Mytilus edulis: one gene and its partners. The protein of the gene in region 1 binds, or shares a complex with, the protein of each later gene. Links are inferred from orthologs where the notes say so. Each region holds a gene or a part of one and is shown on either strand. Other genes may lie near its edges.

Region 1 (10,842 bases):
GGTGGGACTCCATTTTGACTTGAAGGTTTCTTGTTCATTTTATTCTGTTCTTAGTTGCACTGTGGGCCTGGAAAATAATAAAAAATAACAGAGATGCAACTTATCGTCGGACCTGTCAGACCTAAGGGGCAGAATTTCTGAAGGTCTGGCAAAACTCGTTGCTGTGCAGGACCTGATGACCAGCAATATTTTAGTCTGCTTGGGTCAGCCAAAACCTAATTCCCCTTTGGTCCCGACAGATTATTTTGTTTATAAAATTGTGATTTTACAACCATGTTGCATGATTAGATAGAACAACATTCAAGGCTTCGATTACATAATAGAAATCGGGAGTTCAAACTGTTTTAATGATAAATATTATAGCCTGACATAACGTCCAAATATCCTTCCTTATCAAATAAAAAGTAAACCTTTTGCAGAAATTCAGTTTTGAAATTGTATGTTTGACATCGTTAATTTATTGAAATATTTATATCAAACGCAGTACTAGTTGATTAGTTGTAACAGAGAATACACACCATTGGTTTGAAAAATGATGTAACTATGACCTCCGTAGCAGAGTTAAAAAAATATATGGGTCACTGAATATTCACAATATATTTCAGATATGGTCTGTTGTTTTGATGTCAAAGATTATTTTATTTTCTAAACTTTTCTTTCAAATTAGTTTTAATCTACAAAAAAGTGAAAAAAGTAAAAACATTGCTTGACTGTACCTTAAGTTGAATATCTATATCCAAATTCAATTAATTAAAGCTGTAATCCATGATCACAAATTGAATGCTTTGTTTACAATTGTTGAAAGCCATGTGCTTTTTGGTGGGAAAATTTGGGAAACCCCTCAACTGGAAACAGTTACATTTCATTGTTATTTATAGACAATAAGAATTTCATTTTTTTTAACTGCTTACATTTATTCATGAAAAATTAAGAATTTCTTGGGATGAAAGTGACAATATTTTTATACTCTACATCTAGAGGTGTGTAAAATGGAAAAGGGGGAGGGGGGCTGCCTTTTTAGTTTTTTTTATATTATATTACAAACACAGATTATTTTGAGTGAAAATATAGGTCTGGCAATGTGATGGGTCTGGCAAAACTTGGTACCCTGTAGGCCCCAATGTCTGACTGGGAAAAAAAACTATTTGCATCTCTGAAATAACATTGTAAATAATCTTATATTGTTTGAAAGTCTGACAAACGAGAAATTCAATGTACATGTAGAAATGTCACCTCGATTCTTCCTTGTACTATAATATCATAAAGTTTAATATATTGCCCTCATTACGGTACCTGTACATGTGTTCTCTAACACTCTTCACTTCAAACTACAAATAATATAAAGATGTAAAATGTAGTTTTAATTAGATATAGGAAGATGTGGTATGAGTGCCAATGAGACAACTCTCAATCCAAGTACCAATTTATGAAAGTAAACCATTATAGGTCAAGGTACGGTCTTCAACACGGAGCCCAGGCTCACACTGAACGTAATGAAAATTATTAGTCTTGGAGTATTCAGTGTCTCCTTCATTTAAATTTTTTTCTTTAAAAATAATGAAATTTCTTATGTTAAACATTAACACTACTTTATACTATTGAGACTTTATACTATCGATTTATTTATTTTTGTGTGTACCAATTTTCATTGATTGCAGGAACCTTGCATTTTCATGGATATGTTATTTTGTGGTTCTGCCAATGTCTGGATACAATTTTAAAAGAATTGATATTTTGTTGCACATTTAAATTCTTGATTCACCTAGCCGGCCTGTACCCACGAAAACCACAAAAATTGGTATCCAATGAACGGTAGGTTCACCCACAGGCACTAGACGTTCTGTCAATAGCATGAAAATATTGGCAATGGGAAGAAAATAGTGTCCATATATATAATATATATGGACACTATTTTCTTCCCATTGCCAATATGGACACTATTTTCTTCCCATTGCCAATATGGACACTATTTTCTTCCCATTGCCAATATTTTCATGCTATTGACAGAACGTCTAGTGCCTGTGGTTCACCATCGAACACCCGAAAAGTTTATTGTTTTGTCTTTTATCGTTATAAATGTGATTTAAATGTTATATTTAAGGTATTAATTCAACAAATCAGAAGATTTAGAGTCCAAATATCTAAAGAAAACAGAAAGGAAGAGTCTTTAACACCCCACTTTCTGAACTCGCAGGCCCCCATGGACACCACAAATATATTTTTTCTTCTTTTATCTGTTCTATAAAATCGAGGATACTTGAAATGATTACTAATTATGAATATTTTATTTTAATAACACACACAATGTAATCCAGAAAGTGATGAATCTGGAGACAGGGGCGTAGCTAGGTATTCAGTCAACTGTAGGCACCAATCGGCAGGGGGTGTGGGGACCGCTTAAGGCCCCCAGCAGGTCCAGGGCGTAGAGGGTTCAGGGGGGCGAAGCCCCCCGACGGAAAACGGTTTTCAGCGTTTTAGCTGCAAAATTTGATGTACAAAAATATTAAATTTACTGGTTATTTAATCATGATAATTATTATATACATGATGAAAAGTTCGAAGAATTATGAATAATGTACCATAACATCTGACTGGTGAATTAAATAACGCAGTACAATCCGTAATATAAAAAAAATATTTACAAAATGCATTGCCCAGCGTAAATCAGCGTATCCCTTTAATTAAGCAGTACACCCTGTTTGGTATTATCATATCTATTCCGTTCTGATTGATATATACGTTTAACTTAAATTATTATAGTACATATTGACGATCCTTCATTAAAAAAAAAAAGGAACGTTAACACTAATAGAACTATCCTTTTGGCTAGACATCAACCATCAATCTTTTGAATTTTAAACCTTCACCCTAGCCACACAAACATATACAGACATAGTCAATGCCTAACAAAATTCAAGAAATTCGTAATCTTTATATCCTCTACTGTAAAATCCCTACCTGCTTAGGAATTTTGAATAATTGTGGCCATTACACGCAGATTTGAGTACTCAAAATTACAGGAAACCAGTTGATTGATTGATTTCTTTACATCCAGTGTCAAATATTTATGCAAGTTCAGGACCGTTGAAATTTTTATTTACAATAAATAACACTTGGAGCTAGGTCCTGTAATAGGTGTGGTCCAGGACGAAGGTCTGGAAATTTAAAAATGCCATGCATTGGAAAAAGAGGGATTATTGGATAGGAGCAGAAATTTTGCCTTTCAGTAGAACAACTACGAATTCCTCAAAGAGTTGCATTCTCTCTACAACTAGGCATCGGATTAAATGTCCCTATTCTGACCAAACGTGACTGCGTATTTATACATCCTGCACAGCCAAACAGACGACCAACATTGGCAAGTCGGGTGAAGACAAAGTGGAAAGCTAGTTGAAAACTAACAACAACTAATTAAAATTCAATTCTATCCAATATTCCATTCACTAGTCTAAGGACGAGAGACTAGTGTACACATGACATTCGATAATTAAAGAGTTTTGACAACTTCACCGGCTTTCATCTACAGATAACGTTGTTTATTATTTTTTTAAATAACAAAAAATATTTGTGAAAAAAATATGTGTAGGCACCTGCCTAAAGTGCCTAACGGCAGCTACGCCCCTGGGAGACGTTTTTCAATGATCAATTTTAACATAAATATGATCCCAAAAGACCCACCCTCCAATGAATAAAATTGTAATAAATCCACAGCTACACCTGCTTACCCATCCTTAGATTCTCTGTTTTTCTGGAGTTTGTCTTGCTAAGTAGTTTCAAATGTTGTGTTTTGTTTTTTGTGTTTGTTTATAACTGTGGATTTGGATAACAAAATAAATAACAAAAGTCATAGATCTGTGAATCACTACAGGCAGACTTCAATATAATACAGATCGGGACGAACTAATTTTAATCTTTTCTTGTTACACGTATTACATGGTGTATCTAAAAGTGATTACGACTACTCGTACTCAGTCGTTCTCGTTACTGTCTGTTGCTAAACTGAAAGTTACCACAAATCAGTCATTTTATCAGTTGAGAGATGTCAGTGTCTAGTTATCCCAGTGCATCGTCTGGTCTTTTAAACTGAACATTTGATAACTGAAATGACATATTCCATTTGCAAAAATATCATCACAAATAAGATTGAACAAAATATTATTAATCTAATAAAATTAAATAGAAGTTACCCGTCGTCATCAAAAAATAAAAATAAAGCGGGAAATCATAACCGGAAGTAAATAAGGCTGCGATACAAATTAAGACCAAACAAAACTTTAAAATAAAATAGACAGAAAGGGTAAGTAAGTAAGTAAGTAAGTAATGACTTTATTTACAGAGGGTGACTCAATTAGCTTTCGCTAATCTACCTTGAGGCCCTCACAAAGAACAAACAGTACAAATATTACAAAGCTTACAGTTTCTAACATATTATGTAAATGCACTATTCATACTAACTATAAACTGTCTGTAGAACAAGAGAAAGTTATATATAACCAAACATTTTTTATAAGGGCAAAACGCAAGTTCTCTTACCAATTAAAATTTCTGCTATACCTGATGATAATACTATTCCGAGGGATTTGATCTTTTTATTCATTTTAACCTTGCGTCTGAAAGAGGAGGTCGTAAAACTGGGAATGCTCACGGTGCTTCAGTGGCGGATCCAGGGGGGGGGGGGGTTCCGGGGGTGCGCACCCCCCCCTTATTTTTGCCGATCAATGCATTTGTATCGGGACATATGTTTTGCACCCCCCCCCCCTGCACCCCCCTTTGCCCTGGGTTAGCACCCCCCTTTCGAAAATTCCTGCATCCGCCCCTGGTGCTTGGTGAAAGAATCATGGCATATATATCTTATTTTTTAGTACAATTTTTGTGATTTTTATTTTAGTTAATATAACTTCATATTACTTTAAAATGTTCACTTATGATTGTATGTGTTCTTGTTTTTATCAATAATATTTTACCGTCAATTGAATCAGTAGTTTTTATTCAGAAAATTGTCATAATGTCCCTATACTTTTCAGTATTTTCCATCAATTAAGCCTGGGGTACATTCCCAAGACAAGTGCATGTAAGCTGAGATTGATACATCAACCCATCTTTAGATCCTAGATTGTATTTACTTTATATTCTGAATTAGTTATCGGTCATTCATCAAATGTAGGGAGAATATTGTGTTTCAAGTTGCTCAGGGCAGGCTACTATATTTTCCATTTTTTTTATAAAAACATGTTTTATCAGTTAGTTAATTCAACTTTTTTGTTCTTGTTTTCAATTTTATCAGAAACACATTATTTTTACTTCTTTTTTTATCTCAAAGGAACACGTTGGGTTTCCCCCCCCCCCCAAATTAAGAATCTCAGAAACAAGTCTATGTTTAAACTATAGTACGTGGTTCGTTGCCAATTCAAAATAATAAGTTACATCTTGCCTAAAAGTTGTATACGCTTCAATAATATTGAGTGAATAAAATGAAAACATATGTTATGACTCAGTCTGTCACCTGCGTTTTATATGCGATTCCTAAATGTCACGGTTATGGATTTTGCAAATGGAAAAACCAACGGCAAATTGAGTAAGAGAAGGCAATAATTCCACACTAATACAATTCTGATTTCTAAAACAGCGTAAAAAAAGATTATTTTAATAAAAAGTCGTTCGGCACATGTTATATAGCAAAATGTATCGACTCTATAACATATTCCCCCTTTTTTTGCCGATACACTTTTTGAATTAAGATCGCATCTGTGAAAATAAGCGAAACCTTTATATTAGCAACATTAACGAGGGGAGGTAGGAGGGGTCCTGATGCCGAAATCCCGGGCTTAAAAACACGAAATCCCGAGGTCCCGAATTTAAATAAATTTAAATCCCGACATCCCGAAATTCGAAAAAAGTATTCCTCGATCCCGAAAGGGTCAATCCCGTAATACCGAGCTTAAAAACACCCGATCCCGGAGTCCCGATAAAGGTCCTACCCCCCCCCCCCCCCCACCCCCACCCCACCCCCCATGAACTGTGACCTATCTAATATTTCATCTTACACCTACCTAAAAATTTCAACAACAAGAGATCCTTTTAAATTAGTAGAAAGTCATAAGTTTGACGGGTCAATTTCTGACTGTATCAAATAGGTGTACTGTAAACGCTATCAAATAAGTAATGTAGATTAACATCTTTTGAATCTAATCCAGTCTGATCACACACATGTGGATAATTCTGTGAGTTTGATTTCTAACCTTTTAAGACAAATCTGAACTCGGATTCTTAACTGAAAAAGTCGATGCGAGACAAACTCATGAAACTGTTATGGTCTACTAATGGAATATCTGTTCCACAAATGACGACGGATATGTTCCAATAGTTGTAACCTCAATCATGATTCTCTATTCCAAAAAATGTGGCCTACCAAATCAAATTTATCAACAGACTTGGCCATGGATATGTGAGCAACACGACGAGTGTCACTTGTGGAGCAGGATCGTCTTACTCTTCCGGAGCACCTGAACACTCCCGGTTTTTGGTGGTGTATTTCTCAGTTTTAGATTTCTGTTTTGTTGACTGTTCTCCGGGGCGGATACAGGATTTTAGAAAGGGGTGGCGAAATTTAAAAAAAAAAATTGGGACCTTTTGGGGGCTAAAAACATTAAATAAGTGTAAAATGCACATTTTAAACGATTCTTTTTTGGCATGTTTATTTTATAGTTGCTGTAAAGTGTAAGGGTTGGACATTTTTGATGCTGTATTCTCCCTATTAATTGTTTATCATAAAATGATAGTATGCATGATCCAAAGCTATGTACTGCTATATTACATGTGGGACTTGTCAGTAAAAAATAGACATGGAAAATTCTCGTTTGTTGTATGTTAAGTTAGAATAACCTCACAGATTTCTTGTAAACCAGATATACACCGGGCTATTCGATGGAATTTACAATACGACCGACTCGATTTAAGAAAGACAAACAAGCAATTTTTATCCAAATGTTTGGTTGATATGTTTCACACAACAAAATTAAGGGAAGTGAGGGGTTCCAAATGCAGTTTGGTCTTGAAAAAAGTAATTAATATATCAGTTCGGCGAAACAGACATTCCAGTCACACATGCAAACCCCCGCCCCCCAAAAAATACGCCCGTTTTTTTTATTCATCATGTTTATTCAATGCTACATATTTCTGTTGGAAATTTTCGTTTCTAATAGCAAAAAAGTGGACAAGATTATTGTTTGGGGATCATCATTCAGCCATGTTATTTCTAGTTAAAATAGGCTTGGGCGTTTGGGGTTACACATGTTTCCGTAGGTAAAAAATATTGCTGTGGAACTTTTTAACATGAAAGTGTAATAGAGTATAACTTTCTGTCTCGTGGAATTGTGAAATAGAAGTCAATATGTTCTTGCTCAATCCTGTTTTGCTTTGAAGATGCATGTCATGATTGTCATCCTCAGTCTATCCATGTGTTACTGTAATTTGAGTTTCAACTGAAACGACTGAGTAACGTTTTTACGGCGAACTGGTCAACTCCACCATAGCGAATCACATGAGTTTGACATAATCAGTAAATACCAGCAAAAAAGATCATTATAAGTAAAGACTTGTCGCATAAAAAATAAATACACGGGAAATGGCAAAGTTCTCGAAGTCTTGTCTGATTAATCAGTTTACAAAAAGGGGGCGTACGCCCTCTACACCCCCTTCTGGATCCACCACTGAGTATTATCTTTTGCTGGCATTGTTAGGTCCGGTTTCGACGTATAAGTTAGACTTTTATATGAAATCTTGCACCTCAATTTAAGTGTAATGTAGTCAAACGTTTGCGAAACGCATTAGAAATCTTTTAAGTATTGATATTCAAAAAGGGACTCGGATACTGAGGTGTTTCGTGCAGTCAGTATGGTGTTGTTAGAACCTTCGAATATCCAAATGAGTTAAGCTTCTTGGAGTCAGTTTTTTTTTTACTGTAGACTCAATCTTTTTCTAATCTAATTTTTCCCTTTCGTGCACTGTACTATCTGCACATGTATTTCTTTGTTTGTATGCTTGACGATTCACATCTCCTTGGGGTCAATCCTCAAATTTGAAAAATTAATAAATTGAGAAAGATCACATCATTAAGAACATGTGTACTAAAAGAGGGACGAAAGATACCAAAGGGACAGTCAAACTCATAAATCTAAAACAAACTGACAACGCCATGGCTAAAAATGAAAAAGACAAACAGAAAAACAATAGTACACATGACACAACATAGAAAACTAAAGAATAAACAACACGAACCCCACCAAAAACTAGGGGTGATCTCAGGTGCTCCGGAAGGGTAAGCAGATCCTGCTCCACATGTGGCACCCGTCGTGTTGCTTATTAAGTTTCAAGTGTTAAAGTTATACTTCAACTTCATCAAAAAGTGCCTTGACCTAGCACTTAACCAAAAACTTTAACCTGAAGCGGGACAGACAGACGGATGAACAAATAGACGCACAAACCGAGAAAAAAAAACATTCTGCCCTTAGGTTTGGCATAAAAAAAAGTCTCCCACAATTAATTTTTCATAATATTTTAACAATCACCTCAGCGAAGGTAGCAGGCTAGGGAGAACAGTCAATTCGTCCCCCAAACATTAGTTTTTAGATACAGCTAAGAATGTTAAATTTGAGTATCTGCATATCATATACATGTAGATTGATAATAAATGTTGCTAGATTAACATCCAGTGGCAAATATTTCAGGCATATTCAGGACCTTGTTAGTTGATACACCATTCGAAGTGAAGAAGAAACACAATATAGTTAGGTAACCTTGGCCTACATTTTAAACAAGACTAAGTACAGTGAAAGCACACAACTTTGTTAATTTGTGGTCAGCTTAACTGTCTATGAGGTTTTTTTGAAGATTTCAAAAATAAATGATGTTACTGATGGCAACTTGGAATTTTTTTTTCATTTGCTCTATCTTACACGTAGTAATTTTATTATGTACTATAACATGTAGATTTTTTTCCCATGACAAAAACTGTGGGTCTTTTCTAGAGGTGGCATGAATCAGATGTAGATACTAAAACCAGGTGCTCCGCAGGGCGCAGCTTTATACGACCGCAGTGGTCGAACCCTGAACAGTTTGGGCAAGTATGGACAAAACATTCTAGCGTGATACAGCTCTGAATTTGGATTGTGATCAAATTTTTGACATTACATGGTTTTTTTTTTTACACAAAACAAATGTCAAGATTTTACAAATTTTATAATTAAAGATTTCTTCTTCAAACTTTTTAAATCTAAAATTAAATAGTTGACACAGCATAGGTTTCTGACACAGAATGAATGTGGTCTAATGAACTTAAAAGTTTGTTTTTGCCTTTTAGCAATTCACTATACTGTTGAATATTAATGCTCTCAAAAAAATGTTTGAAGAAATTTTCTTTTTATTTATGAAATCTGAAATGAGAAAAATTTAACCCCCCCCCCTTTTTTCACATCCCCATTTCCCTTTTTCCAAAACTGATATCAATTCAAATTTCTAATGGAGTTTGCAATAATAACTACTCTTTTAAATACATCATAAAATATTAAAATGTAAAATAAAGTGCTTGTTATCACTGAATGGTACAGATTGGTTGGTAGTAAAAGTGAATATACATTGTTTATTGTATAAATCAATAAAAAAAACTTCATCAGCAACATTTTATATTGGCAAATTTCCAATGAAGTTATTTACATAAAGTTATTGGCAAATAAAAATAGAAAATGACATCATAGTCATGTCTGGCAAATGTCCAACATACATTATCTAAAAACATTTTAGATAAGATAAGGAAATAAGATGTAAAAAAACTGCTTGTTATCACTGAATGGTAAAGATTATTTTAATTTATCAGTTGGTAGTAAAAAGTGAATATACATTGTATATTGTATATAACAAAGATTGAAGTTGATTCTGGACAAAGAAAGATAACTCCAATTAAAAAAAATTCTTGCTATTGCACAATATTTTGCAATTAGATATTTCTTGCTTACTATTCTGGACAAAGAAAGATAACTCTAATTAAAAAAAAATTGCTATTTCACAATATTGTGCAATTAGATATTTCTTGCCATTGCGCAATACTATGCAATTGAAAAGACTTGCTATTGCACAATACCTAATATAATAATTTTAGATCCTGATTTGGACCAACTTGAAAACTGGGCCCATAATAAAAAATCTAAGTACATTTTTGGATTCAGCATATCAAAGAACCCCAAGATTTCAATTTTTGTTAAAATCAGACTAAGTTTAATTTTGGACCCTTTGGACTTTAGTGTAGACCAATTTGAAAACAGGACCAAAAATGAAGAATCTACATACACAGTTAGATTTGGTATATCAAAGAACCCCATTTATTCAATTTTTGATGAAATCAAACAAAGTTTAATTTTGGACCCTGATTTGGACCAACTTGAAAACTGGGCCAATAATCAAGAATCTGAGTACATTTTTAGACTCAGCATATCAAAGAACCTAACTGATTCATTTTTTGTCAAAATCAAACTAAGTTTAATTTTGGACCCTTTGGACCTTAATGTAGACCAATTTGAAAACGGGACCAAAAGTGACCAAAAGTTAAGAATCTACATACACAGTCATGACAGTTAGATTCGGCATATCAAAGAACCCCAATTATTCAATTTTGATGAAATCAAACAAAGTTTAATTTTGGACCCTTTGGGCCCCTTATTCTGTTGGGACCAAAACTCCCAACCTTCCTTTTATGGTCATAAACCTTGTGTTTAAATTTCATAGATTTCTATTTACTTATACTAACGTTATGGTGCGAAAACCAAGAAAAATGCTTATTTGGGTCCCTTT
Region 2 (10,725 bases), on another chromosome or scaffold:
TTCCTAAGGTTATCTGGTAATATTATACAGTTATTCAACAGTATTAAGGAAAAAAAAACATTTTATTTTTCCCAAGACACTAAAAATTTCATTATGGCCCTGCTGAGAGAAATGTTTTTTTTTTGTCGAGGGGAAAATAAAAATAAGAACATTTGGTATGATTGCCAATGAGACAAGTTGTCTCTCCACAAGAAACCAAATATGTCACAGAAACTAACAACTTCAAGTCACTGTACAGCATTGGAAAATAACTTAAAAGCTTCACTTACTGTTCTGTTATACCAAAAGAGGGATGAAAGATAGCAGAGAGACAGTCAAACTCATAAATAGAAAATAAACTGACAACCCCATTGCCAAAAATGAAAAAAGACAAACAGACAAACAATAGTACACATGACACAACATAGAAAACTAAAGAATAAACAACACGAACCCCACCAAACTAGGGGTGATCTCAGGCGTTCTGGAAGGGTAAGCAGATTTTGCTCCATATGTGGCACCTGTCGTGTTGCTTATGTGATAACAAATCCGGTAAATAGTCTTATTTGGTAGGTTACATTCAAGAAAGGAAAGGGGGTTGTAGTTACGACGTAAGGAACATATCCGATATCATTTGTGAAACAGTTATTCCATAACGGTCAAAGAAAAAATCTTGATCCAATTTAAAGAGAAACAAAGCTATATATCAGCTGTGTGGAGTATGATAAACATGTTAAACATTACTTGTAATTGATATCGAAGTTACTGAATGTCAAAACTAGAAACACCTGAAGATTAATAAATTTGGGGAAAACTGTTGCTTCTGGTAAACTATATCCCAAAGGAAAACGTCATTGAAACTATTTCCCTATGAACTTTCACTTCAAAGTAGAAGTTGAGGTAGCCTTATTTTAAATATTTCTAAAATAAAATTCGTCAATAAAAAAATATGATTTAATATGTGTATTTATTGCATAGCAATATCATATTTCCCACAGAAAGTAACCAAAAGTTAGCGTGCAATAAGTTCCAATATTGCACTAGTGCAATAAATCTTCAAAATTCATGACGTCATCAAGACAAAATCTTAGTTTAAACTAATTTTTACTTACAAATATTATATTGCTATTCAATAAAAGGATTATCGCATGAATATTGGGGAATATTGTCCCTCGTAGAACATATATTGCACTCGCAAGCTCGTGCAATATAAAATTTTACTCTATTCCCTAATATTCATGCAATAACCCTATAATATGAACTTTTTTGTCTCACAATATTATATATATCATGTATATATGAACTATTTTTCTGACAATATTATATATATCTCACCATTCTGTGTATTCTTCATCGTCTAAATGTTTATCTAGGATTTCCTTTACAATGACTGGAGGATTCAGGCCGTGTTTATCTGCTCTCTTCCATCTTTCCATTCTTGTTATTCCTAAAATGTACAATGTATGTAAAAGGTTAACTTTATTGACTTTATGTGGTATGTTGAACATTGGATGATGAAAGCTATATTAGAAGCATATTCTTTTTCATGAAATAGACTATGAGTGAAATTACCTAAAATAAATAAGATTGGAATTTTCCACGAGACACAGATGATGTATTTTACACTATAAAGGGTCATAACTCATTAACTGTAAAAGTGATTCTACCTAAATTCGTGCTTGGTCTGTGGTTTGTGGTAATAAGTATTGGGTATAAGGTTCATAACATTTGAATGAGACAAACTGAAGTTAGGGAATAGAAATGAAAAATTTGTTTTGGTAAAGGGGCACAACTCTAGAAAGGTAAAAGTGAACCCCACCCAAATTCAAACTTTATCTGTCCTTTTGTGGTAATAAGTATTGTGTATTAGTTTCATAACATTTGGTTGTGGCAAGCTAAAGATAGAGAACGGAACCAATTTCGGGATGTATGAAAGTAGGGACAGATGTACAGTTGGACAAGGGTAAAACTAAATACCCTCTCCACTTCAGGGGCAAACAAATATGAATTTGTTTAATGATGGAATATCATTCTATAAAACAATATATACCTGAACATGGACCAAATTCTAATGTGACATCAAAATGCCTCAGTATTTTCAATTCATCTTCTACATCTGTTTTACTTGTGCTTGGATGGCCATCTGGAATACAAAATAAAGATAATGCACATGTGAAAATAAATCAATGAAATTCATATCATTCAACAAAAACTTAATACCTGGACATTTTTGTAATTGTACATGTTCAACTTTTGCTGTTAATATTTTCATCTCAACTGGTCTTTTTGGAAAATTACACTTTATATACTTCTGTATTAATATGAGTTAGAATTTATGACTAAAATCAGCATAGACCATCGAAAGAACATCTGATTCAAAAATTTAATAACACTTTTAGTCCTTTGGGTGATATTGGATCTCAACAATGATTTCAGTATGTACACTAAAGAGATTTATCCTGCCTACCTGACCTTAAATAAAGCTAATACCATGGAAGTATTATATTGACAGTAACTCCAACGAAAAATTAGCACATTCCCATCCCACTGATTTCTTTAAGAAAATAAAAGGTTCCGACTCAGTTTGACAAGTTCGTGATAACTCCTTTGTGGGGTATCTGTGATGCCACCTTCGCCTGTTCTTTTAACTGAAGCTGGTCTTATCACTTGATTTAATATTGATTGTCTTATCTACCTACCAATGTAAATAAACACGGAAACTCCCGTGGTTATTTGTTAATTGCCACATAAACAACAACACCTGTTTCCGTTCAATAAATGAAGAACAACGCTGAAAAGATCGAAAAAATTGGTCCATATTTAACAGAATGACATAATAAAATTAACTGCATTCGGAAAAAGGGCAAGCTTATTTTTAGTTTTGTTGAGTATGTTTTAATCATTGGAACTTGGAAAACAGGAAATATCCGATTATGAAAATTACATGATTCTGAAGTAAGAGTGGTAACAGAAAATAATGTGATGCGCTTGTAGTGTGCCAGATGGTGCCAGATAACTCAAATTTTAGTTTAAAGATTGTAAAATTTTATCGAGTGTTACACAAATATTTATGGTTTTCTCTATCGTAAAATGTTATTAACTTATTTATCAAATATGTTTTAAAGACTAAAAGAGGTTAATAATTACACACATGTGATGACCTCTACATAGCAATATCAGGTTACGAGACATGCAGATGAATTGTTACACCTTTTATGATAATTCCAAAGTTGTAAACAACCTTAAATATTCAACCTAGTCCGAGATTACTCGATCTGACGTCTGACAGATTTATTTTTAAGGATGGCTTTTAATATTTCTGGATGCATTTAAAGAACGATCACCATGATGGGCCCTATGCAGTTTAATTTTTTTTTATCATGGAAACCAAATTAGAATTTATTTATGTGTTTAAAAGCTTAACAGTTCTGAACTGTGACATCTTACACTGTATGCTAAGCAATTTATGTTTCTGTTTCTTGTTTAATTGCATGAAATATTTGCCATTGGACTTTTAGTAAACAATAAATCAAAATATTTGATATTTTCTTCGGATCAAAGCTTTTTAACCCCGTCCCCCCGGCCAACTTTTGGATTAAATTTTTGTTTGAAATTCTTTCATTAAACACTTTATTAAAATATTTGTCAAAGTTAGCAGTAAAACGCGATAATAATTACTGATAAAAACTTTTCCTTTTACTTTACATGAGAATTTTATGATTTTCAAGCCTACCATGTATATAACAGTTACGCATGTTTAGTCAATGGCTCTCTCATGAATAAAAATCTTACTATTTTAAAATTGATTGCAACTTAAACTGAAATGTTTATGGCTTGTGAGTATTTTTACTCTTCAGTTTTTTTTTTTTTTTTTTTTTTTTTGGTGAAAACAGTCGCGGGATTTCGTTTATTTTCTTTTTATTTGTTTTTAAGCAGCAAATCCTGTAAAAACTAACATATTTGTCATTCACATGGTCGGTAAATGTCATTTCCTTGAATTAAGTACACATCTGGTTATTTCGGTATGTTCTGTAATTACAATCATTCACAAGGTTCCAAAAAATTGATCGGAACCCATGCATCCATAAGACATGTCAAGTTCATTATAACAGATACTTAACGATTTTGCGGCATCGCACTATAAACGTTTGAAGTCCGCTTGTTAGAGTTCCTGTCAATATAATACTTCCATGCTAATACTAACAATGAACACTGCCCTTTCCTGGATCTTGATATCTATATCCTTAATGGGAAGCTAAATACCAGTATTTATGATAAAAGAGGTGACTTTTCATTTCCTAATGTTAGTTATTCATTTTTAGAATTGTCACCATCTTTTGGTGTTTATATATCTCAACTTGTTAGATTGTGTATGTAACAATATATATGTACAATTTGGAAATTAGTATGGCGTTCATTATCACTGGACTAGTATACATGTATATTTGTTTAGGGGCCAGCTGAAGGACGCCTCCGGGTGCGGGAATTTCTCGCTACATTGAAGACCTGTTGGTGACCCTCTGCTGTTGTTTTTTATTTGGTCGGGTTGTTGTCTCTTTGACACATTCCCCATTTCCATTCTCAATTTTAATTATATGGTTAATTACATGTGTACATATACACTATTACCAGCTTACCCATTTACCCAAGAATCTGTCCTGCTTGAATTATTGACATCATACAACAACCACTTTTCTATTGTGGTGTCAGATATTTTGTATTTTCATGTCAACATTTTACAGGAACTTGTGTGATGTCCAGTAATGGCGGACACATAGCGATAAGGTGTATTACAATAAATGAGTTAAAATTACCAATTTCTAAGTTGGATTACATTTCTGAATCCCTTTTGGGATCCCCTGAGTCAGTAGCCATTTTCTGATTTGGTCACTCTCAAAGTGGTTAAATCAAAAAATTGCTCTGCAGTCAGAATCCCTAAAGGGGTCTATCATTTTTTATATGCTTCTAGTTTTTATAATTATCAATATATTTTACGTATATATATAAATTCAGCTTTTAAAATACCATTTGTTGGTTCCTTTTTATCTTTTCCTTTAGGAGTCTTGACAGACTTGAAAGAATTGGTAATGAAAGAACGTGTTGCCATTTTCATTGTTCTGCTTCTTAGGTTATGTTTACAGGTTATAACTTGACACTTTAATTTGCAAACTCAGCTTCCTTCAAAAGCGAAAGTAGGTAATGTTTATCTCGGTTTATCTAATGCTCCAAATATTAGACGAAACGAAATTGGTGAAATCTCTATTTTTAAGATAAAAGAAAATTTTAACTTTTTTTTTAAAATTTTACATGTTAACATATTATATATGAGAAGAATTGAATTATGTTTATCATGAATAGGATATAATTTTTATAAAATTGTGTTTAATAATTTCAAAAATTCGATTTTTATTTTAAAATCTTTAAAATTGAAACGATCGTAAATCTTCGGCGATATCCACACAAAATATGAAAAAGTAAGAGGAATATCGAAAAATATTTTCCAACTCATCAGCATGGCGGATTCTGCAGAAAACTCAGTACCGGCGTTAGCAGTTACTGCTGCAGTTGGAGCTGTAGTCCTATTATTCGTTCTTTTATGCAGTGTCGGAAGACGTGCAGACAAAAAGGATGAAGATGGTATTATTTTATTTTTGGGCTTAAGTGATAAAATTGAGAATACAAAAAAATATGGAATTTTACCATTAAAGCTTTAGCTTTATACTCATTGAGAAGAAATTTGAACTGTTCAAGTGCATTATTCTTACTTAAAAACTATTATTCATGCACAGTTGTAAATGCTCTTTTGTTCCGACGTTGGAAAGAACTAGCCGAAAAGTTCCGAAGGAACTTATTAATTAGTTACTTTGTTCTTCCTCTGGTTTAAAAGTTCTCCCGGAACAAAGTGACTAGTTGAAACCAACGGAACATATCAAGCAGTTAGCATGGTTAGAAAGTTCCTTTTTGCCAAATTAGTCAAAACCGGAACTAACAAACTAGCCCAAAAGTTCCAGCGGAACTTATCAACCAGTCACAAAGTTCCATTTGGAGAATTGGTGTAAAGTAAAAGCGCAAGATATTATATTTGAACCTTTCAAAGTGGAACCAAGATACTGATTACAAAAGTCAAAAGGAACTTATCAACTAGTCGCAAAGTTCCTCTTTGGCAAATCAGTCACAACCGGAACTAACAAACTGGCCCAAAAGTTCCTCCTCATATGGGTACTTTTAAAAATATCAATTTCAGATTAATGTATGAAAATAAATTAGAACTTATTCCGTTATGAAGGCAACATTCTGACCGAAGGAGCTAGTTGTTCTGTTCCACCAGAACTATTCAACTAGCTACATTGTTCCGAGACTTTTCAAATAGCTACTTTTTTCCGGAACTTTTCAACTGCACTCGGAATAAAGTAACTAGTTGAAAAGTTCAACCGGAACAGAGTAACTGACGGAACATAGTGGCTGTTACACAGTCACTGTGCAAGATTAGGGCAAATTATTAAAATTATGTTGACAGATACTTTTTTTAAAGTTCATCATAACAAACGCACAAATATGGCTGTATAAACGTGCCAAAAAATTACTCTGAGTACAGACTTACTTGTGAAGTTGGAAAAGTTTTAATGCCTAGCATCCACTAGATATATAAAATTTAAATGCATTTTGTGTTTCAGCATGTTCAGAAAGATAAAATTTCTTTTGGATTTTGACGGGCATTTTATTCCCCTCGTGCATATGGTGTGAAAATTAACTAAGTTGTGGTACAACTTTGAGATGCTCCCTCAGGTAAAAAATGGGTTTGTATTGTTTTGATTGTCCTTACTTGACATGGACAAGAGGTATCTTCACAACTACAGGTGAGTAAAAAAAGAGTTTATCTGAGTCAGTGAGTGGACAGTATCAAAGTAATTCAGGTGTTTGTTTATTTTTACACCTTCTGCAGAAAGGAAAAAAATGCCCATCAAAAACCAAGAAAGATTTTATCTTTCTTAAATATAAAATGCATTTTACTTTTATATATCTAGTGGATGCTAGGCCTTAAAACTTTCCAATCAGCACAAGTAAGTCTGTACACAGAGTAGTTTTTGAGGTGAAAATACAGCCATATTTGTCCATTTGGTATGATGAACCTTAACTTTGGTCACTGTCATGATGGTATCGACTATCGGGTCTGTTCGCCCTGATTACACTTTCGCCCTGGGTCCATTCGAACAGGTACTAGGGCGAACACGAATCAGGGTGAACCAACCTGGATTCCTGTCAAGACTAGGTGACTTGAAGTGTCATGTAAAATTGTTGTTATGTCAAATTCTTTATAAAAAAAATATGCTTATTAGATATGTAACTTAAAACAACCACTGAAGAGTTTCCTCATGTTGGGTAGGCAGATATATACATAGTTTGGTGACAGGTTGTATTGTTTTTTTTAACAACATTTAGTTAAACAACACTATCAATAAGAATATGAAAATAAGAGACCAACATGACCAAGGCAACTTTTAATTCCTTAGATTGATGAGTGAATTTTCTTCTAATACCTTTCGCCCCCTTTTAATTCCTTTACTTTTATGAAGAGATTTTATACAGCCACATCATTACAATATACAACAGGATGATATGAATTTGTGCAATACAGAAAGTAATTTATGTACATTGTATCAGGGCTTCCAAAACGGTCATATATTTTGGACAATTGTATTCTGTCCGGTAAAAGTCTGGCTGGACAAAGCATGAAACGATCATCTAAAAATATAGTATATATACCAATACCAAGGGTCCGGAAACGGTCATATATGCCAGTCTTGACCTAAACTGAAAGTATTTTGTCCTAAATGAGTAATTGGGATTTAGGACAAATTTTATTTTTTTACAGAAATAATTTCGGTCATTAAATTTCATTTCGTTGAGATCGAGTTTCCAACATTGTCTAAATCGCCATTTTGAACTTTTTTTTGTTTGTTATCCCTTTCCTGTAATAAAACTGCCACTCCAGTAAAGTGTTATAATCCTGAGGGCCCTCCTAATAACTATAGTAATGCCTCTGGGAAATATTGGCTAATGATCGCTAATCTAAGACTCTTTACCTGTGTTTTTAATTAAATTTTTTATTGATCACAAGCTCAGAACTAATAAATGAAAAGTTCATAACAACTGTCTGCATTATTTAATTACTTTTCTCAGCTTAGACAATTGTCAATTCTGATTTAAAATTAAATTAAAATTAAATTAATTTACGTAGAACAAAATATTGTTTCACTACAAACACATGTGCTTTGTTTACTAATAGGCAATCTTGAAATTCTCTTCCACAAAAGACACTAAATCGTAAATTCAAAATGATTTCATGCTAAATTAAACAAGTCCAACTATTATAATTAATATTCAAACACTATTAAAGGTAAAACAGTTAAAAAGCCGACGATTTCCTGTGAATTTGATAAACAAAACTAATCCCGGAAATGAGTCCGTAATTGGTCGTTTTACTATTGTCGTAAAACATCCGGTTATAATTTTGTCTTCAAATCGAAAGAAACGTAAGCGAAGTTTGAGAAATTTATCGTTTTGAGTCATTAAAATCATTTCATTTTTAAACTGTTGCCTTCCTTTTATTGCTCAAGATTTTAAGGAAAATAGTAGGGAAATTTCTGAAGTAAATGCGGTGCAACAGTTAAACAAGTTCCTTGATGCTACGAGTATGACTGTATGAGCATACACACAATCTTTGTTTGAAAAAGGGCACCAACTTTTAAGTTATCCAAAAATGACCGAAATTAGGTGAAAAAATTTCCGGACCCTTGACCAATACACGTAATTAACAGCGCCTGGTGATGTTTTATAGCCTGACCGGTTTCGGTCCGAAAAGGACCTTCATCAGAGGCAGAATGATGGATTAATGTTTGCACCCTATTTATATAGATATGGTAACCGGCGGTTGAGTTATCCAGCAGTTAAGATTTAACTGGCGGTTTGTTTAACCCGCGGTTGAGTTAACCAGTGGTTGAGATTTAACCGGCATTTCAGAGCGAACCGGCGGATCAAAGTTATCCAGTGGATAAATAAGTATCTTGTTGATATCTAAAAAGGTTCAATTAGCCATTCAGTTGGGATTTTCCATGGTTACAGTTATCTATATTTAGCTAATGTACATGTTACAGTAAACTTTCTTTACATGTTACGGTAAACTTTTCAACATTATACGGTAATCATGTGACCTGATGATATAACCATATTTGGGCTTTAGCATTGGGTAAAGGGTGTTTATTTCAGGACTTGATATTCAGGTGTATCATAAGCCTGAGATCAAGACTGCATGACTGCTAGGAAGTACTATTTCAAGACTTGATATTTAGGTGTATCATAAGCCAAATATCAAGATCACATGACTACCATGACATACTATTCCAAGACTTGATATTTAGGTGTATCATAAGCCAAAGATCAAGACTAAATGATTACCATGTACTTCTTAAATTATTTAAACACCCTTTACCCAATGCTAAAGCCCAAATATGGTTATATCATCAGGTCACATGATTACCGTATAATGTTGAAAAGTTTACCGTAACAGGCTATAAAACATCACCAGGCGCTGTTAATTATGTGTATTGGTATATATACTATATTTTTATGCTTTTACATTTTTCTCACTGATACACATAGTTAATATGGCTTCTACTAACGAAAGCTCCATTTGGAGCTAATGTGTTTAGAGACTACTTATGTCAGTACACCTTTCCTATATTGCCCATGAAACGATCATCTACTTTTTAGTTTTCATGGCTTTCTTACTAGACGTTCATTTTAACATAAACACAATCTTTTTGACCCAACATTTTGCCTTTAACAGCCACACATTTCCGGTCATAAAAGTGACAGATGATTAACTACTATCAAAACAGCCTCTACTTAAATACTTTCTAATTTTAATCAAGGCTAATTAGTTAGCTGAAATCTACCTGTTCAGGTGACAGGTAAACTATTTTCTTACATTTCAGCGGTTTGTATCTAATTGATTTACAAAAATGTAGTCTAAACATGCTAAAAGAATAAAATTCTAAGAAATATGTTTATAAACATGATTTGACGAAAAATTCAATAAGGTTTTAAATGAAACAATCGTCAGAACTACGTTGTATGAACTAGAACATGTGTGCGCATGTGCACAGGTGGGAAATTTAATTATGTATCCTACATTTCTTCAAAAATTCAAAAATTATCTTTAGTACCTGTACCTTACGTTCATTTCAAGTATTTTGTTGAAGAAATAACGTGGAAAGAGCTTCTTCGCTCAGTCATGCTTTGTAAACGTACACTGATTTAACATATCCGTTTCTGGTCCATGTTTTAACACTGTCAAGTAAACATCCGGTATTACGAAAATGTGATTTTAAAAAAGAAAGTAAAGTTTTTGACAACGTCTTTTGGCACAAATAAAGAATCTAAGTTGGGCAGATATGATCACGCTTTGCGCACACTTCGAATGATGCACTGCCAATTTAACAGTTTACGTCAGAACATCAAAGTCATATCAAAGTAAAGTTTAATATCGTTTTTTCAAAAATCATTGGGATGGCCATCTGATTACCATAATTGCCTTTTGTGATTTAGTCTTAAGGGATTAAAATCGAGATCAGATATAAAATGTACGGGTGGCTCAAATTATTTTTGGAAGCCCTGCATTGTATCTATGTAATCAAAGAAATGTAAAGAAAGGAAAATTATAGTATTGTGTTAAACTACTAATGG
Region 3 (10,440 bases), on another chromosome or scaffold:
AACTCTCTTTATCCTGCGTATCCTCACTGAGTGAATTTCCTGCTACTATTACACGTACAATACTTGATGAAGATTCTTGTTGGTCCATATCTCCCACCTGACCTGTTACCATGTCGACCATAAGTTGTAATGGAAAAGACTTTTCATCTTTTCCTCCTATTTCTAAACCAGATATGATAGCTATAAACCTAAATAATAAAGTAAATGAAAGTTCATTTAGGAATTGAATGCTTCTTTTTGTAACTTCATTGGGGTGTAAAAGCGTTGACCAAAGTACATTTTGTATGAAGCGTGGAAAAGTGCTTCATTCTAAAAATGTATGCACGGTCAACACTTTTACAACCCTATGAAGTTACAAAAAGAAGCATTCAATACTTATAATTACATTTTTAGCTAGGATCATGAAAGCACGATTTTTATCAAGTTAAGATTTAATTTACCTGTGCACTTTATTGTGGGACCTTGTGTCATCATGAATGATAAATTTTATTGTGTAATGAAGTTGATTAAGGAATAACAGGAGATTGCAGTGTATCCAATCAGAATAAGTTTTATAAAGAAACATAAATCTAATGTAATTATTAACTCTTTAAAAGGACAATCTCTCCAGTTTTCTGTTAAAATTCATTAAATGACAAATGGGAAAGAAATTTTTACGTGTGCATTTATTTAGACAAGAAAATTTACCAAACTTAAATCAAATAACTAATAAACACAACTGCATGCAAGTTATATTCATAATCCTTTGTACTATCAGCATTGCACTGTTTTTCAAACAAAATAAAGTCCATATTCAATTGAATGTTTGAAATCTTTTCCAATGTTTTGTTTAAGCCACGGTGGATTCATTTTTATTCCTTGGATACCAATTTTCAAGGATTTCATTGGTACAGGTATGTGAACCACAAATAAATATGTTAAACCAAGAACAAATTTTCTATATGTTTGTAATGCTGAATTTGGTTAAATCATGAAATCAAATATCTACAAAGTACTCTCCAAGTTGATTTTTACACCATTATCTGAGATTGCCTAAATCTGACTAAAATTTATTTATGAACTTTTTAACTGAGTTTTACTGTGTGTATTATTGTGTTTTTTTCTACATTGGCTAGCGGTATAGGGGATGGTTGAGATCTCAAAAAAATATGTTTAACCCACGCTGCAGTTTTATGCCTGTCCCAAGTCAGGAGCCTCTGGCCTTATGTTGGTCTTGTATGATTTTTAATTCTACTTCATTTATATATATATTTCAGAGTTTAGTATGACTTCCATTATCACTGAACAAGTACACATTTTTTTAGGGGCCAGCTGAAGCACGCCTCTGGTTACAGGATTTTCTCATTATATTGAAGACCCATGGGTGGCCTGTTTTCTGCTCTTAGGTCATGTTGTGGTCTCTATGACATATTCAACATTTCTGTTCTCATTTTTATTCTGTACCAGTTTTTGTTAAGTCAGTTGGTATACCTGTCATGTTCAAACATAGGTCTCTGTATTTGTTCTGGTAACTGTTGGTAACAGAAATCCTCCACTTGGAACTTTCCTCTGTTGTCGTCTGGTTCTACACCATACAATGCAACAATTACACCTATATAAACAATGTGAATATTTTAACTAGTTGATCATGCTACATGTACGTATTAATGTAATTCATGGTGTGTTTTTTTACATATTTTGGTCAAATAATAGATTGCAATATGCACATTTCACAGATTGGGCAACTGGATGAATTTGGATGTGATAACATAAATAAGTTGAATCTTTTATACAACTGTATACCTGCCATCAAGAGTATACCCACAAAAAACAAACTACAAAAACTGCTCTTATCTTTTCAACAATGCACTTTTATTTAACATTTAAAATTGTTAAAACTGTTTTCAAAAATAAACTAAATAGTTAATTCACAATTCAATGATCCTGCTAGTTGCTAGTTGGCATCTTATTTTCCTACAACTATCTCAGAAAGTATTCACAAGCATTTAAATTTCTAAATACCTGTCACTGAAGTCTGTATATCTAGTTTTCCAATTAATAAAATTCTTTGTAACTCATCTTCAAGGATCAATTTATCATTACTATCTGTGTACTTAGACTTAATTGGTTGAGGCATCAAATTATGCTGAAAAAAATACATTCAATACAGTGTAACCTTTCTAATCTGACACCTGAGTATTGCAACATCCTGCTTTAACCGACACATTTTCATGGTCCCAAAATATGACTTACCTCGCAGAAAAAACCTAAGTATTCCAACACCCTACTTAATTTGATATTATTTTCTGGTCCCCCAGTGTCGGATTACACATGTTGCACTGTACTCATTTTTGTGTATTTTAAACCTGTAAGGGTATATCTTAAAATTCCATTGGACTAGTGATTGGAATACAAGTCTCAACATGACCCACTTCAATTTGACTGTGAGAAAACAAAGATATTAATTATAATGTATTCAATCTCAGCAAATGTGTATCAAAAATTAAAAAAAAAGCCTACTTGATGTACATAGTATTTCTGTCTTCATTTCTGCATACAATTCATTCTGCTGATGCAGATTTTGATGCTCAGTGATGAAATGTATGATATAATTACTGTGGCAATATGTAGCTTTTCAAAAAATGTATATAGTATCATTCGCCTAGTTATTCTTTAGTTATTCAAATTTTGCTGCATTTATGGGCAACAGTGAAATATTGTCTAACAACATGAAAAAGTAACCTTAATTTACAGTAACTAGAACTAAGAATGAACTCATAAAAGGATAACTGCACTGAAATACTTAAAATATATATTATCTCCCCTTTAGCTTGAAGCAGAGGGAATACATCATTTAATACACCGCTTTAAATATGAGCTTCAACTAACATCCATCAAGCCGTTTGACAGAAGTAGGCACATTTTTTAAGCTTGGTGGTAATCTGATGAGTCAAGCATTTTCCAACTGTTTGTTTGAAAGTAGTAATGTTTCACCTCTGTACCAAGTTGTGGGAGGTACAATGTATGACTGCTCACCATCACCTTTAACTCGCCATATTATTTAAGTGCATGTCCAAAATCAGGAATCTGTATTTCAGTGGTGGTCAATGATTGCTTTCTGCTATATTTTTCTCTCGTTTGTTTTAGCATAAACATGATAAATCAGACAGTTCATTTTCTCTTTTGTTGTCATGCTGGAGCCTTTTTAAGCTTACAACATAGAATATACATATGCTTTTCTCATAGTTGAAGGCTGTATGTGGACCTACACCAAAGAGGCAGTACTTTGTACTAAACCATACTTTTACTCTGCTTAACAAGAGTTTGGTACTGCCTAATTTAGAAATTAATTTTCATACAAGATATTCATAGAGAACATAGAAAATTTCTTGATAAAATCAGAAACGTACCAGTCCACTTAAACAATAATGAAACCCTCCGAGTCTGTACCTACATGTATATAAACAAATGTACAATATAGACAACAGTTTTGATCATCTTTCTAAAACACAAAACTTTATTCAACTAGCTACATTATATGCCATTACCAACGTTTATTCTCACGTTTAAGTTTTGAAAGTGAATTTGATGTACTTGAATTCAATCAAGTCAATTATACCTCTTCACTTAATTCTTTCAGGATACTAGGTCTAAGTTCCATGTGCTTAAATAGGGTACCAATTATAACACATTTCTCATCACTTTGCAACTCATGCAACTTCTTTATATTTACATCTTTTCCTACAAATAAAAATATAAAATACATGTGAATTCATATACAGTTATCCAATCTAGATTAACTTAAATGGTGAACAATTGTTTAAACTGATTCATGGATTTTTCAAGATTAAAAAAATATTGAACCAAGACTTTTAAAATTGGAATTAGAAATGTGCAACCCAGTCTGCACTGAGATGAGCAACATGATGGGTTCCACTTGTGGAGCAGGATCTGCTTACCTTTCTTTGGCACAGGAGACCTCCCCCCCCCCCCCCCCCCCCCTGTTGGTGAGGTTTATGTTGATCAGTCTATACATGTAGTTTAATAGTTCTGTTGTTTTGTATACTGATTTATGTCGCTTGTTAATTACTTGCCATTGCATTGTCCATTTGTTCTGCACTTATACAAGTTTGATTTATACCCAGGGTTCAATTATATATATGTGCTAAGCAAGTAAAATCTAAGATGGGCAAGTGAAACACATCATGGAGTTGTTCCCTGGGCAATATGAAATTTTGTTCTGGTGTATAACTAAGGTTAGACATTGATTTCTCAGAGGTGTTTAATTATTGGATAACTATTATCGTTTTCTTTATTTGTTTCATATGCATATGCCTGAAAAATCATACACATCGTTGTTTCCCCCACATAATTCTATGTCAATTCCCGTGTGTAAGTCAACATGCGACAATGTTTTATAATGATGAGCACCACCTGCACAGGGATTTCTGCTAGTATTGGCCATTGTTGGCGAAAGGGAGTAAATACAATGTACAAAGATCCAACCAGAATGGGTTTTGCAAACGACTTTTCTGTTGAAATATAAATTAAAGTAGAAAGAAAATATGTCAACTGGTTCAATTTCTACATCATGTACATGTACATTTGATTTTTTTTTCTTTTTTATTTAAAAAGGTTAACTTTGTTTAAAAAAAAATGGTGTTTGAAATCATTAAATTATCTGCCAGGAGAAATCAAGAATGCAGGATTTGGCTTCTGACAGTTACCCCTCAGCTTCCCCACTTGGCCCTAGACCCCCTGCAGTAATTACAACAAGCTTTGCGTGAATATACATATTAATTAATGTTGTGATGTTGCACGACCAAAAGCATACTTATGAAAGTGAAAAGCGTTTCAAAAATACAGAACAAAGCAAAAACAACAACTCAGAAGGAGAAAAAAAACAGGAAAAATGGTGGCTTCTCTGGCATGTTCAAGTTATTTTTTACCCCACTTTGATTTAGCAGCATCCACTACTTTGTCCCTCATACTCCACAACCGTTCAGCATATAGATGAGCATATTGTCTTGAAAAGTTTTTTGATTTCAATCGAAATCTTTCCGACAAATCTTCATATTTACAATCAGATCGAACATAATCTGCATCAGATGATTCTGTCGGTTCAGTCAGTAGTTTTCCAACATTTGTAGTGCCTTTTTCGGGATTAAGTAACATGTTTGTGTGCTTATAAGAATAACAACTCTAGAAACTGAAAACATTCCCGCCAGCGGAACTCTTTAACGTGAAGGTAAATTCTTTGCATGATTTGACAACTTACCCCAAAAATGAATCAAGCAAATCAAAGAATGCAACGTCCAAAAATGAGTCCGACTATATTCAAGATTATTATACACCTTCTAATAATTCCTGTTTGTTTACTAAGTAATTGATAATTATGAGGATTCATCATTATTAGGAATATATAGGAAATATTAACCATTTTGGCATATACAATGACCTACAATGTATATGCAAAGGACACAGTGAGAAGCCATCTCTTAAAACTGTTTTCTTGATAACTTTCATACTGTGTTACACTGTTTGTCATAATGTGCAGTTGCCCATATTATTACACCCAAGTTTTTGAATTTTTTGCATGTGTTATAGAAATTTCATGGAACAATTTTTGGCTGTACAAACTGTTTCCACTTATAAATTTTTCACCTCTATGCCTCTTCCCACTTATTCTCAGATCCGGACATCCTGGCATTTAAATTTTTCAAGGGGTGATGCAGATAGGATTTCTCTAGATTTTTCATCTATTTGAAGGTGATAACTGATTATTTATATTGCTTATTATTTTTTAACCAGAGGATATAGTATGATTAAAATCAAAATAGAGACATTATATAGTGTCTTTAACAATATTAAGTTGGTAAAAGTACTAGATTCAACTGGTGTCAATATATATCAATTAAATTAATTTGCATTGAAGTCTATGGAAAATCTAGAGGATTCTTATCCGCATCACCTCTCAACATTGTTTACATAACACAAATGCTAATCATTGATTGGTCAGTTACATGTTGTGATGTCAATGCAGATCTGAGAATGTCTATACATAATCACAAGTCAAATGCTTACATAGTTTTTTTTTCCCACTTTGTAACATGATCTTATATTGCTACATTTAACTCTTTTAACCTTTCTTATCAAATTATAATAAAATCCACTGAGACTAGAAACAAGAGATATGGAGTATACACAGGACACTTTTCTGAAACATATACTACATTTAACTTATTCAAATACTGAATAACATTTTCATTTTGTGTTTTATTATGAGGTTTCAGTTGCAGGATTTTTTTGTTGTGTTTAAAACCCATTTGTGGTTTTTGGCTGGTTTCTGCTCTATGGTCGGGTTTTTGCCTCTTTGAAAAAAATCCCCTTTTCCAATCTCAATTTTAATTTTTACAACATATGTGCTAGATATGCAAATAGCAGCATTTGAGCATATGTGAAAGTGGTTTAATCCCACTGTATATTGTAACAAGTCAGGCTATCTGAACCAGTTACACTATTATTTTTTTTTAGAGGAGTCAGATGTTTGTGTTTCGTGTGGTCTTTTGTTCTGCCTAATATTTTTGGTGATTCCTCGTAATCTTCTTATGTTTTATTTCATATTCAATATTTCTATGGCTTAAATAAATCAAAACAGAATACAAATTGTTTATGTTTTATTTTTGTGCCTTTATGCATGTCAAAATTTAAACAAATATATCAATACAAAGAAGATCAAAGAAGAAAGAGTAGATCAATTCTGTGTCAAAATAATAAATAAACTCATGATTTTGTTAACATCAAGTTAAACACATTCCTTATAAAATTACCATTAAAACTTACTTACAGCCAAACTGGAAAAAAAAATCTTTAAAGAGGAAACAAGAACAAAAAATATGTCCTTTCAATCAATTTTGTTTTTCATTGAGTTAAAGAAAGCAAAAATTATGTGTCCAAAGTAGAAAATAGAGATCCATCATCATATCAATCGAAAGTTACTTTTTGAAAGACAAGGAAATTCAAAATATTCAATGAGTTCTTTTTGAATCATGAAAAACTGTACCTGAGAATTACATTTTTTAGACTTATAATGCTATTTGCAGGTTTGTCAAAGATTACACAAGGAGGAAAAGCAATATGCTTATCTCACACATTTTTTAGTTTTGTTTAACCTCTTCAATCAATTTATAAAACTGTAATTCTGATAACATATAGAGACATATTTTCTGAATAAAAGAATCAAGAGAATCAACATTTTTATATTTACAGTAAATAATACCTTTTAAAGAAATGTACAACTATAAAGAATAAATAATGTCATTGCAAAGAAGTTGTTTAAAGAGAGAGAAAAAAACCCACATCTTTGATAATCTTAATACATTTGTCTCCGTACACACACACATTCACACCATTTATTTGTAAAGGAAGACCATTCAAAGTTAATATTTCCAGAGTTTTGTATAGAGACAATTTTTGTGTTACCAAGATTCTAAAATGTGCATCTACAATATACTGTAGATTCAATATTTCTTAAAAAAATATTTTGTCTACAGATGAATAGCTGACACAAATCGATATACTTATCAATCATAATATAACATCAAACCTATCCTATTTAATTTTTATATTAAATACATTTTGATAAAGTGATTTATAAGATAAGATAAAGGGATAAAGAAACATAATCTTTACTTGTTATGAAAAAAAATCAACAACACATTACACACTAGAGTAAAGGGAGGTTATTCAATGCTCAAGTTCTTTTTAAAAAAGTATTCATTTTACAGCTGATTGCAATGAGCGTGTAGATAAAGGTAATATCTTTGGTTAGCTAGCTTGCTAGCTGAACCATGAAGTCATTATTAGGTTAGGTATACTTCCCTCCTTTCAAAGTAGTCCTACAGACAGATAAATTGGTTATGTCGGCCTAGTCTACCTCTAAAGGAGGGTAGTTTACCTGACCTAATAATGACTTCATGGTTCAGCTAACAAGCTAGCTAACCAAAGATATTACCTTTACTGACACACTCAATGGAAAAAGGCTGTATTACTTTACTGATTGACTTATTTTGACTTCTTTATGACACCATAACTTTATGATCTGATAAATAGCAAATATTAAATATTACATCTTAATGACACTTTAGATTCTTTATGCAGTTTATACGATAGTGAAAACAATAATGCTGGCAGTTATTTTGTCTTCTATTAATAAAATATGAAAATAAAAAGAAGCAAGCAGTTACATCATTTCATTTAAATGTGACAAGCAAAAAACAAGAAAAAAAAACAAAGGCTAAAAAATAACAATTGAAGACAAACCAAGCCTAAATATCAACATATGTAATTAAACATTCAATGAATGTCCTTAACCATGACGATGAATACATGATAATGATATATAGGTATATACAAATAAATTATCAATGTACAATGTCTATTATAAATGTGATCGGATAAAAATTACTTATATATATATATATATATATATATATATATATATATATATGTTATATATATGTTATAAGATTCCAGACAATAAATTAAAATAAATCATCCTATTTTGTGATGTTTTCCCTCTTCTTAAACATAACTTTCGGTGAAAATATTGTTATTACTACAGATCTTCTTGTGTTGCTATTGATGTCATGATCAGTTGAAACCATAAATAATTTTAATTCTAAGAGATAAAAAAATTCTGACATTCTATCTATTTATGCGACTGAAATCCGAACATAAATTCTCAAGAAAAATTAATAACTAATATCCACAAACAAAAGGTCATTCATGATATATATTTTTAAAGTATTCTCATCATATTTTGCAGTAATACATTTGAAACCAGATTGTAAGTTGAAATCTGTTGGATTCCTTCCTTTCTAAGACTCAATCACCATAGGAGAAGGGACCATGGCAAGGCATGATTATAAAACAAATGAAAGCTACTGAGATCACAACCAATTATCGCATTATTGTTAATTCACATTATCATTGATCTATATCTATCATATATCTTTGTTGTTCCTCATTATATTGGAATTTTATCTTTTCATTACCTTATAATCTATTCTTAATAATTTCACTGAATTAAATAAAATAATTCTAACAACTATATCTCGTACTACTTTGTAGAGAAAAACTGTGAATCAAATGTTGCAAAATAATTTTTCCATCAGAAAATTTCTATGATTATCTCCCTTGTTTCTTAATTCTTAAAGCCTGTAGTGTTTATATTCTTTTACTCTCTAAATTCATGCTTATTCATTAAATGAAAATACAGAGTTCGATTTTCAACTGAATTTGTATTGTACTACATTACCAATAATTTCTTTAAGGTGGTACATAACACTACAGGGAGATAACTCTGTAAAATTCAGCTGAACATTTTAATAACATTCTATTGTTAGGAAATTTTTAGCTTCTCAATGGTCATTTTTAGCATTTGTCTATATCCAATAAGTGTGTGATTCAAGTTTTTTTTAATTTTTATATTTTTGTCAAAGGGTCCAAGTGAATATTTTGTCAAAATTCTTTGAAAATTAAACCAGTCAAATTAATTTTAGTCAAGGTGTTAGGTACCATCTTAAACATTATTGAGACTACAAATTATAATCAGACCATGAAAACTGATATGAAACGACAGTTCTTGGTTCTTTCTAGTTACATCACTATAATTCTACCATATAACAAACTAATGATACAAATATAAACAAACATAACTGAGTATAACAATTAACATGAGGCAGAGTTTTCTTATAATATTGCAACTGTCTCCATTGTGTAACAAAAATAACAAAAAAAACACAATTATGGTTTTATTCTATATACTAAACTAATTCTAACAGTCAGCAGTTATTAACAGAAAACTTATCACTATACTAAATTTGTGGGTAAAATTATTATACATTGTTTACCTCACAATCATTGTTGGAATTAGATTGCCAAAGACAAGGAGAAAAACATCAGCTGTTTCATGAAGGTTATTAAGAAATTTTTGCCATTACATGTGTATAATGATTTTTGGAAGTTTTAGTATATTTATTATACCCAATTTAAATTATATTTTTTTCATTTCCTGATATAAATATGAGGGATTCTTCTTTTTAAAAACCAACAAATTTTAAATAAAGGTACAAGGAATATGGAAAATAAGGTATTAACAAAATATCTCTTCAATATAAACATCTTTAACTTATCCAACAGACATATATTGTTGCATCATCATAAGCTAGATAAAAAAGTTTGCAGAACTTTCAATTTCTTTCTCCCATTTGAAAGATTTGATAAACTCCAAGAAATCATTCTGATAACTAAAACTGTTGACACATAGATATATCTCTCCTGCATGTTATTTTGATAATACAATGTATAATGCAAATGTTGATATCAAAATGGCAGTACCTTAATATGTGAATTATGCTAAACATTCAGGGATTGGAGGTGCAACACTATTTAATCTCT

What was found.
Region 2: DNA polymerase delta catalytic subunit-like (region 1) and DNA polymerase delta subunit 4-like share a complex: the UniProt entries of both Homo sapiens proteins name them as parts of the tetrameric DNA polymerase delta complex. The link is inferred for Mytilus edulis from reciprocal best matches to the Homo sapiens genes POLD1 and POLD4.
Region 3: DNA polymerase delta catalytic subunit-like (region 1) and DNA polymerase delta subunit 2-like share a complex: the UniProt entries of both Homo sapiens proteins name them as parts of the tetrameric DNA polymerase delta complex. The link is inferred for Mytilus edulis from reciprocal best matches to the Homo sapiens genes POLD1 and POLD2.

What each region holds. Positions count from the first base shown.
Region 1 is NC_092350.1:57,670,966-57,681,807, forward strand, and holds the start of DNA polymerase delta catalytic subunit-like, read right to left. Parts: upstream 4,246-10,842; 5' UTR 4,188-4,245; intron 1,327-4,187; exon of another isoform or gene 1,294-1,326; intron 68-1,293; 5' UTR 39-67; coding exon 1-38. UniProt on the Homo sapiens protein: As the catalytic component of the trimeric (Pol-delta3 complex) and tetrameric DNA polymerase delta complexes (Pol-delta4 complex), plays a crucial role in high fidelity genome replication, including in lagging strand synthesis, and repair.
Region 2 is NC_092349.1:58,947,096-58,957,820, forward strand, and holds the start of DNA polymerase delta subunit 4-like, read right to left. Parts: upstream 5,199-10,725; 5' UTR 5,093-5,198; coding exon 5,005-5,092; intron 2,123-5,004; coding exon 2,030-2,122; intron 1,427-2,029; coding exon 1,315-1,426; intron 1-1,314. Other genes in the region: transducin beta-like protein 2, read left to right, coding at 5,493-5,616. UniProt on the Homo sapiens protein: As a component of the tetrameric DNA polymerase delta complex (Pol-delta4), plays a role in high fidelity genome replication and repair.
Region 3 is NC_092352.1:36,392,904-36,403,343, reverse strand, and holds the start of DNA polymerase delta subunit 2-like, read right to left. Parts: upstream 5,232-10,440; 5' UTR 5,155-5,231; coding exon 4,929-5,154; intron 3,721-4,928; coding exon 3,599-3,720; intron 2,126-3,598; coding exon 2,002-2,125; intron 1,592-2,001; coding exon 1,471-1,591; intron 189-1,470; coding exon 1-188. UniProt on the Homo sapiens protein: Accessory component of both the DNA polymerase delta complex and the DNA polymerase zeta complex.